2 linked regions of the Arabidopsis thaliana genome follow. The protein of the gene in region 1 interacts with the protein of each later gene in a pairwise test. Each region holds a gene or a part of one and is shown in the gene's direction. Other genes may lie near its edges.

Region 1 (4,395 bases):
AGTATCCTGGATCTCTTTAGAAATGGAAAATAATAGTCAATATGACTGATGTGACTTGAAATAATAATTAGTTACTTGAATTCCTTAATGATATTTTGTAAGTTAGAGGGTTTTTTCCCTAGTCCATCTACGAAAGCTTAAGAAAAGGTTTTGCTGCATGTGCCTGTTGTTCTACAAGCATATTAAACATTCTTGTCTGTAATCTTGCATCAGAAGCCCAGCTGAAACAAGTGAGCTCGTTGGGCAAATGACGATATTCTATAGTGGAAAAGTGAATGTGTATGATGGAATACCACCTGAAAAGGTAAATCAATAACATTATTCTGTCCAGTCTGAAAATAGAAATTTTGTTGGCATGTTTTTGATCATTCATCCTTTGTATTGGTTTGCAGGCCCGGTCAATCATGCACTTTGCAGCCAATCCAATTGATTTGCCTGAAAACGGTATTTTTGCTTCCAGTAGAATGATTTCAAAGCTCATAAGTAAAGGTAAGCTTTTGCTAAAGTGTCTGATCTGTTTTTCAGTTGATAGATAGATGATTCAAACATGAAATGATTTTGTTTTGTGTATCATCAAACTGGAAAAAGTTCATGGACCAGCTTTTCTGACGCAGTAGAGCTTTTTTATTTATTTTCTCTTCTTGCAAACACTGCTTTTGTTTTGTCCAACTTTGAAAGGAGGCATGGGTAGTTGACCAAGGAAGTATGTCTAAATGTTGCATTGTGCTATACTACCTTGCGTAAAATATCCAAATGCCTCTTGCATGTTTTTGTGATAGTGATTCCACTTTCCTTCTTCAGAGTCTAGTTTGAATTAGTCAAAAATCAAATTGAAAATGTGAAATCTTATTGCAGAGAAGATGATGGAACTTCCCCAAAAAGGCCTTGAGAAGGCGAATTCTTCTCGTGATTCTGGTATGAACAGTATTCATATTACCTTAATGATTCTCGGAGCGAAACTTGATCAACACATCTTCACCTGTGCAAAGCTATGCTAATGTTGTTAACTTGGAGGAAACTTGGCTTGCTTGTTGTTCTGCATGTTATATGACCTGTGAAGTTTATTAATCTAACCGTCGTTCTATGTTTTTTGGGTCGTTCTTAAGGTATGGAGGGCCAGGCGAACAGAAAGGTATCTTTGCAAAGATATCGTGAAAAGCGGAAAGACAGGTGCATTTATATACTTACGCTTATTCCAAAATCGCTATAAACTGATATGTTTTCGTAATGTGCAGAAAATTCTCAAAGGCCAAAAAGTGTCCAGGAGTTGCGTCCTCTAGCTTGGAGATGTTTCTGAATTGTCAGCCACGGATGAAAGCTGCATATTCGCAAAACCTAGGCTGCACCGGATCTCCACTGCATAGCCAGTCACCTGAAAGCCAGACAAAAAGTCCCAATCTTTCAGTTGATCTAAACAGTGAAGGTAAGAAGAGAATCATATATAAAGCTTTGTTAAATCAGTGGTTTGGATGATTTCCCTCATAACTCTCCTCGCTTGGTCTCCAGGCATTTAACAAGATACCGAAACGTGGAGATGCTATAAGCTGTGAATAGGCGTTGAAACAGTTGCTTGCTTGTAAGCTCAAAGATATGAAGAAAAGAAACCTCTCTTCGGATCGGCCTTCTTTTGTGTTTCCGGGGTTTTGCACCCATAATTTTTGGTCTATAGTTTTGAGTAGAGCTTAGTAGGTTAGTGGTAATTTCTTGTTTCTGATTCTTTTTGTGAGGATATAGTCACAGAGAGTAGAGACAAGAGAGGTGAAAGAAGGGCTTTCATTTTCTAGGTGTTGTAATGTGTAAATGATGTCTTACTTGACACTTTTAACGAGAGAGACCTTTTAGCCAAAGTGTTTCTTACTCTCGACTCGAGTCTTACTTTGACACCACCAAACTTCTCTTCTTTTGTCCATTTTTAACCCAGTTTTTAACTTTTAACTTTGTTAACTTTTTTACAATAATTACCACTCTAACTAACGTATTTACATTTTCTCAAACCTCAAAAATGTGATAAATAGTCTGAAACGGATATATGTGGAGGCGGCATTTCCCTCGCCGCACGCCGGCGGATGGAGGGTAGTTTAGTCTTTTAACCTTTTTCTCTGTTTTTGTCCCAAAAGATAAAACGAAAATGACTTCTTTTGAAAAGGAGAGAAGGCATATATCGCGTGGATTTGAAGACGAAGAGGAATCATAAAAAGCCTAACGAAGAAGACGAAGAAGAAGAGGAACAAACAACCATGGGTGAAGTGGTTAAGGTAATCGTAAATCTCTTGCTTCTGATTCTGATTTCGTGAAAGCTCATCGGAAAATTTCTTGTTTCAGCTATGAAAACATGAATCGCCGCCGATTGTTAATTAAGTGGTCTTCAATCACTGATCACTATTCCAATTTTGATTTTTGTTTTATTTTAATCATCAAATTTGATGTTTTCTAGTTTCACTTGTTGTGTATGAAATTCAGGCTTTGTCTTGGAGGTTGCAATCGAAAATTTCACTAATTGCTGAACGTTTTTTGTTTCTCTTTCAAGCTTAGCATCATAAATTTATGTTTTCTTGTTGTGTTTGTGTATGTGTGTTTTTGCTTAGGATGGAAGAGAAGAAGTGATCCAGGCATGGTATATGGATGATAGCGAAGAGGATCAGAGACTTCCTCACCACAAGGATCCTAAGGAGTTTCTATCTTTGGACAAACTTGCAGGTCTCTTTGTGTGTTTCAATTCAGTGTTCTTCTCTCTGTTTCTCTATTTGTTTCAGATGTAATGTTTGTGTGCAGAGCTGGGAGTACTTAGCTGGAGACTTGATGCTGATAACTATGAAACCGATGAGGATTTGAAAAAGATCCGCGAATCTCGTGGTTACTCTTACATGGTTTGTTTATATAGACTTGAATGCTAGATGTTTACTTTTGAACAAGTCTTGTTTTAACTCTCTAGGGTTTTACTCAATTGTAACACTTACTCTACTGAATGTATTTAGGAAAATTCGTTGATGATTTGCAAATTGTTTTATGTGCTTGAGTCTTGGTTTGATGATGGAAAAGTGTTCAAAATGCAGGACTTTTGTGAGGTATGCCCGGAAAAGCTTCCAAACTATGAAGTGAAAGTGAAGAGCTTTTTCGAAGAACATTTGCACACTGATGAAGAGATCCGTTACTGCGTTGCAGGAAGCGGTAAGTACTTTTATTGGCTGCTTTACTTGATTTAAGTCGGTATCTATATTCTCAACGTTTCATTTTCTTGGGAAAAGGTTACTTTGATGTGAGGGATCGCAATGAAGCTTGGATTAGAGTATGGGTAAAGAAGGGAGGTATGATAGTCTTACCTGCTGGAATATATCATCGCTTCACCGTAGACTCAGACAACTATATCAAGGTGCAATGTTAGCTTCTTCAGAGTGGTTAATTCATCATATATATATTTGGTTGATTAGAAAATTGAAATATCTTGTTGAGCAGGCAATGCGGCTTTTCGTGGGTGAACCGGTCTGGACACCATACAATCGCCCACACGACCACCTCCCTGCAAGGTACAATGTTCTGTTTTCCCCTTTTGTCTCATCAAAAACTTACTCTGCAAAAGTTCATCCAAGAAAAGACACGAGAAAAGCTGTTTATGGATATCGAAACGGCTATTTTACAGGAAAGAGTACATCGATAATTTCGTGAAGGTGAATGAAGGTGGTGTCATAGACGCGTCAGCCTAGAGGATTCTCAGTCTTATGCATCAGATTTCTATAAACTAAGCATACAATAAAGAGAGCTTTCTGTCTCATGTTGGATATTATGTCATCTACAGATCCACTTGTGAAGAAACTTTGATTCGTGTGGCTTTGGCATTATGGTTGTGTTGTAACTGTATTTATAGTTTATACTCCAGAAATCAAACTGTGTTACATTATCAATCTCTCCAAAGTTTTCCTTAAACTAGCAAAAAATCACAAGTAATTGGCCAACCATGGAAGATCCTTATTGTCTTTCAATGCAAAAGCAACATCATCACTTGGAAAATTAAGCTGCAGCTTCTGCAATCTGTGCTTCTCTCCAGGTTCACAAAGAACGATTCTGCATTCACCAAGATCACAACCGATTTTGAGAAGAATGTCCCAACCGGGAAAAGCTTCACCATTGGTTAAGCAAATAGACGATACTGTTGTTGCTACTCTGTCAAAGCTTGTCTCTGCCATTCCTGTTTTGTAAAGCTCATGAACCATAGCCGTCAAGAAGATCCTACTCAGTTTCGATACACTCTTCATAACTTGAATATGAGGTGCCTGAAACATCTCTTGAATGGCTACTTCAACATCTGCCATAATCACCAGCTGACTCTTTGCAGATATGTTACTCTTCTTTAGACGGTAATCCGCTACTTCCGCTGCACGCCTGCATATCTCAAGCGCG
Region 2 (4,906 bases), on another chromosome or scaffold:
AAGCTTCAGCTATTCATCACAACTATTCTCTCCTCTCTCTTTTTTTATTAAAAAAGCTCAAATTTATATAGGTTTTTTGTTCACAAAATGGATTATAACCTTCCAATTCCATTAGAGGGTCTCAAAGAAACGCCACCAACGGCTTTCTTGACGAAAACATACAACATAGTGGAGGATTCAAGCACAAACAACATAGTTTCATGGAGCAGAGACAACAACAGCTTCATTGTTTGGGAACCAGAGACTTTTGCCCTAATTTGCCTCCCTAGATGCTTTAAGCACAATAATTTCTCCAGCTTTGTTAGACAGCTCAATACTTATGTACGTAACTACTTTTGAGTTTTTGTCTTGGTTATTTTGATCTTCATTAAAAATTAAATCTTTGTTTAATGATCTGTAGGGGTTTAAGAAGATTGATACAGAGAGATGGGAATTTGCAAATGAGCATTTTCTGAAGGGAGAGAGGCATCTTCTTAAGAACATCAAGAGAAGAAAGACATCATCTCAAACGCAAACGCAGTCGCTAGAAGGAGAGATCCATGAGCTGCGAAGAGACAGAATGGCTTTAGAAGTAGAACTGGTTAGACTGCGACGAAAACAAGAAAGCGTGAAGACATATCTGCATTTGATGGAAGAGAAACTGAAAGTCACAGAAGTAAAGCAAGAAATGATGATGAATTTCTTGCTAAAGAAGATTAAGAAACCGAGTTTTTTACAGAGCTTAAGGAAACGTAATCTGCAAGGAATCAAGAATCGAGAGCAAAAGCAAGAGGTGATCTCAAGCCATGGTGTTGAGGATAATGGAAAGTTTGTTAAAGCTGAGCCAGAAGAGTATGGTGATGACATCGATGATCAATGTGGAGGTGTGTTTGATTATGGTGATGAGCTTCACATAGCTTCAATGGAGCATCAAGGACAAGGGGAGGATGAAATTGAAATGGATAGTGAAGGAATTTGGAAGGGTTTCGTGTTGAGTGAGGAGGAGATGTGTGATTTAGTGGAACATTTTATATAATAAACTAATGTATTATGAGAGGTTTTTTTTTGTTTTTTTGCTTTTTTTTTCCGAGTTTGTCATCAAGCATTGTATACAATTTGGGCCAAACTAAAAGCCCAACAAAATATTTGGCCTTGGCATTTGTTAACAAATTGACTAATTCGGCCACACCTTCCACTCCATTGATTGTTCAAAGACGTCTATCAACATTTTATTTCTCCTGAGCACTAACTATAAAGTATTTACATTTTTACACAAATTTTATTGCTGTCAATTTTAAAAAGTAGCTAAAATACGATACAATTATTTTAATTTAAGTCAGTTATACGTTTCGATCGAAGCGCGTGACGAATCGAACCGTTGGATTGACCTTTTATTTAAGAGATATTGCCTTTTATGATCACCCATGTGGCTTTCCTCGATTTAATTTTATTTTTAATTATTAATAATCGAGTGCACGTACTCGCCACGTCATTTTCATGACTTTATTTTTATAAATCTTATCCTCATTTGTACCATTAGATTCTTCCCTCAAATAAAGCCTTTTTTATACGTTACTACTAAATAAATTAATTCCTCCATCTTAGGAAAATTTTCTCTAATTAAGCGACAACTTTCTAATAAATACTGCATTATCAAACGCACCTAATATTACACAAACGATAATAAAATGGATACTTTTCAGATATGTTTTCAAAATCGTTTATCTATTTAATATTATTACACTACCAATAATATCCAGCATTTGCAATGAATGTAATTACGTAATTAAGTCCTATTTTACACGTCTACTAAATTTATAAACTTTTTATCATAAAAATAGTTATTACATTCCAAAAATTACTAGTAACATTCCTATAAATTGCGTTACTATTTATCCAAACAAATTACTATTTTTACAATCTACATTGCCTTATCAAAAGTTTAAAATCAGATAATTGTGATTCCGTTTAAAGATATGATTATCCATCTAATTAACTCTTTTTTATTAACCTCATTGAGAAAAAAGAAAAATATCCAAAACTTTCTTATCCTCTTGAATCACGACACGTGTCAATAACGTAGGGGTAAAATAGTAATCACGTATATCCTACAAGATTCCTTTATAGCCTTCCCGGTCTTTCTTCACTTTTTTCCTCATCATTTTCTCGTTTGCTCCATTTTTTTCTTCTTTCTGCAAATTTTATTTTCCCGAGAAAATCATCACTGAGAAAAATGCTCGCTGTGTTTGAGAAGACGGTGGCGAATAGCCCTGAAGCTTTACAGAGTCCACACTCGTCTGAGTCTGCTTTCGCGTTGAAAGATGGATCTCTCGCTACTCATTTCGCTTCCGTGAATCCCAACTCCGTCACGCTTAACTTCGGATCTTCTGGATTTGTTGCTTACTCTCTTGATAATCCTGATCCTCGTGTTCCTAGGTCAATTTCAAGTCCTCTTCTCTTTGATTATATGCTTGATCTAGTCAAATCTTTGTTGTTTCTTTGATTTCTAAGTAGTAGATTTTGAATCTCCGATGTTTTCGGTTTCGATTTTGTTTATTTCTGGAATCTTCTTGATTTGATCTGCGATAATGTTGGATATATTCGCTATTTTGCTGCAGATTTACTTGGATTGACTTTATTTGGCTTGCGATCTAGGATTTATGGTTTTTGGCTTGCTTGTGTTGGTACTATAGCTTGATGATGATGATGATGAACAGTAACGGTAGATTTTACAAACTACATTAGATGATGATGAGATAACAGTAGCTAGTGATTTTTGGTAGAATCTGGGATTAGAGATTCTACAGCTCCACTAGATGATGATGATGATGATAATGTTATTGTTCTACAAAGTAGATTAGATGATGATGATAATGTTATTGTTCTACAAAGTAGATTAGATGATGATGATGATATTATTGTGAGCTATTGGAGGAATACGGAACTACAGAGTCTATTTAACTCTATTTTTCATCGATAGAAGATGATTGAAAAGATCTACACTGGATTAGAGTAATCTGTGGCTCTTGATTTTGTATATTTGGTAATGTGATTTGGTTTCTATTGAATTTGACAGATTATTTGCTGTGGTGGATGATATTTTCTGTCTCTTCCAAGGACACATTGAGAACCTACCGTTTCTGAAGCAGCAGTATGGACTGAACAAAATCACAAACGAGGCCATCATTGTGATTGAGGCTTACAGGACACTACGTGATCGAGGTCCTTACCCTGTGGACAAAGTTGTTAGAGATTTCCATGGAAAGTTTGCGTTTATACTCTTCGATAGCGTCAAGAAAACTGTCTTTGCTGCTGCTGTAAGTCCAGCAGCTATACATTCTTGATCTCAATGTTTAAGTCGCGGAACTTGATTTACTTGTTGTCAATGTGCAGGACGCCGATGGGAGTGTGCCGTTCTTCTGGGGAACCGATGCTGAAGGGCACCTTGTGTTTTCTGATAACACCGAGATGGTGAAGAAAGGTTGCGCCAAATCTTATGGTCCTTTCCCTAAAGGTACCAACTTTACTCCAAATGTTTTTGACTCTTTTTAAGATAAATAGAATTTACCTATTAGAAAGATAGGTATTAAGATTTTGATAATCTGATCCAAGACTTTGGTTGTTTGTGTGATTGTTGTAGAGCAGCAGTTCACTAAATGATTATATGGCTTTTTTTTTGGTGTTTGAAGGTTGTTTCTTTACGTCGTCGGGTGGATTGAGGAGCTTTGAGCACCCAAAGAACGAGTTGAAGCCAGTGCCGAGAGTGGACAGCTCAGGTGACGTGTGTGGTGCAACCTTCAAGGTTGACGCTGAGACTAAGAGAGAGGGTACCAAAATGCCTAGAGTCGATAGCTCCCAAAATTGGGCCGGTCATATCTAAACCGGAAATCATACACAAATCACAAGCTCAGCATCTTCTCCCTCTTGTCTTGTCCCCTCTCTTTCGTTACATGTTTGAGTTACATTGAGAAAATAATTTCAAACCACAATGTTCTAAACGCGTTTATGTACATGTTTGAGGTGGGATTTGGAAAGGATGTCGAGTTTTGTGAAACTTTGGAATTACGAGACTACTAGACTTTTGTTTCTCTGTTTACGTTTCTTAAATCAATAAATAAATAAGTTTTTATTTCATCATTTGTAAATGCTTTTTGCGCGAAGTTTTTATTCCATTTTTATACACAAGGAAAAAGTGGAAAACATAAATTGATGTTATGCTTCAATTCAGTTTCTCACGTAAGCTAAGGAAGGTTCGGACCATTGATCATAAGGGAAGGGATTGTTAAGATGAGAAACCATATTAAGAAACTATCGGTAAACTATCACAAACTTTGTTTGAAATCGTCCATGCAAGGATCATGTTCATTTTTAACAATTTTTACATTTGAGATGTTGGTGCTGCCATCGCAGTTGTTGGCGCCACCACCAACTTAAACGCATTTGCATTTTCCTATTGATTATAATGAAGATGTTTAGCAAATTGATAGTACGAGTGATTGATGTTACGTCCATATGATCTTTACCAGTAAATATATTGTCTATCATTAATCCTTGCTAATATCACTTGATAAAGGTTAAGAACAAAAACAGTCACTCTTTATACATCATTTGATCTCTTCCGCGAATATGACATCGAAAATGTGTTGTACTGCACAGTGGATATCATAGAGAAGCTAAAATCAGACTCAGACCTTTAGAAAGATTTACATTTAAGAATAACAGTCGAACAAGAATGTGAGTTTTTTGTCAATGTGATACCTTCATCTTTCGGGATATTCGGCTGATCAACCACGAGGTATTGTAGCGCGTTTAGATCACCAGGACTATACAACAGTAAACAAGAATATAAGAACAATTTTATAAACTTGTCAAAGTTCAAACAAGGCAATATTCTCAGTACCTTGGTTTCAGGATAAGACATGAAAGT

Evidence for each region.
Region 2: the proteins of ATARD2 (region 1) and AT5G43830 interact in a two-hybrid assay, tested with the Arabidopsis thaliana proteins (2 studies listed by BioGRID).

Annotation. Positions count from the first base shown.
Region 1 is NC_003075.7:8,424,203-8,428,597, reverse strand, and holds ATARD2 (RmlC-like cupins superfamily protein), read left to right. Parts: upstream 1-2,126; 5' UTR 2,127-2,237; coding exon of another isoform or gene 2,238-2,255; exon of another isoform or gene 2,256-2,322; 5' UTR 2,323-2,423; coding exon 2,424-2,447; exon of another isoform or gene 2,448-2,585; coding exon 2,586-2,697; intron 2,698-2,772; coding exon 2,773-2,867; intron 2,868-3,053; coding exon 3,054-3,168; intron 3,169-3,245; coding exon 3,246-3,370; intron 3,371-3,450; coding exon of another isoform or gene 3,451-3,453; coding exon 3,454-3,524; intron 3,525-3,637; coding exon 3,638-3,701; 3' UTR 3,702-3,895; downstream 3,896-4,395. Other genes in the region: PPD1 (TIFY domain/Divergent CCT motif family protein), read left to right, coding at 214-304, 393-489, 856-915, 1,107-1,170, 1,236-1,423, 1,507-1,514; ORC1A (origin recognition complex 1), read right to left, coding at 3,933-4,395. UniProt on the Arabidopsis thaliana protein: Catalyzes 2 different reactions between oxygen and the acireductone 1,2-dihydroxy-3-keto-5-methylthiopentene (DHK-MTPene) depending upon the metal bound in the active site.
Region 2 is NC_003076.8:17,621,546-17,626,451, reverse strand, and holds AT5G43830 (aluminum induced protein with YGL and LRDR motifs), read left to right. Parts: upstream 1-2,092; 5' UTR 2,093-2,212; coding exon 2,213-2,415; intron 2,416-3,055; coding exon 3,056-3,296; intron 3,297-3,372; coding exon 3,373-3,493; intron 3,494-3,668; coding exon 3,669-3,859; 3' UTR 3,860-4,196; downstream 4,197-4,906. Other genes in the region: HSFA6A (heat shock transcription factor A6A), read left to right, coding at 88-321, 401-1,015; AT5G43822 (Pentatricopeptide repeat (PPR) superfamily protein), read right to left, coding at 4,584-4,627, 4,738-4,802, 4,880-4,906.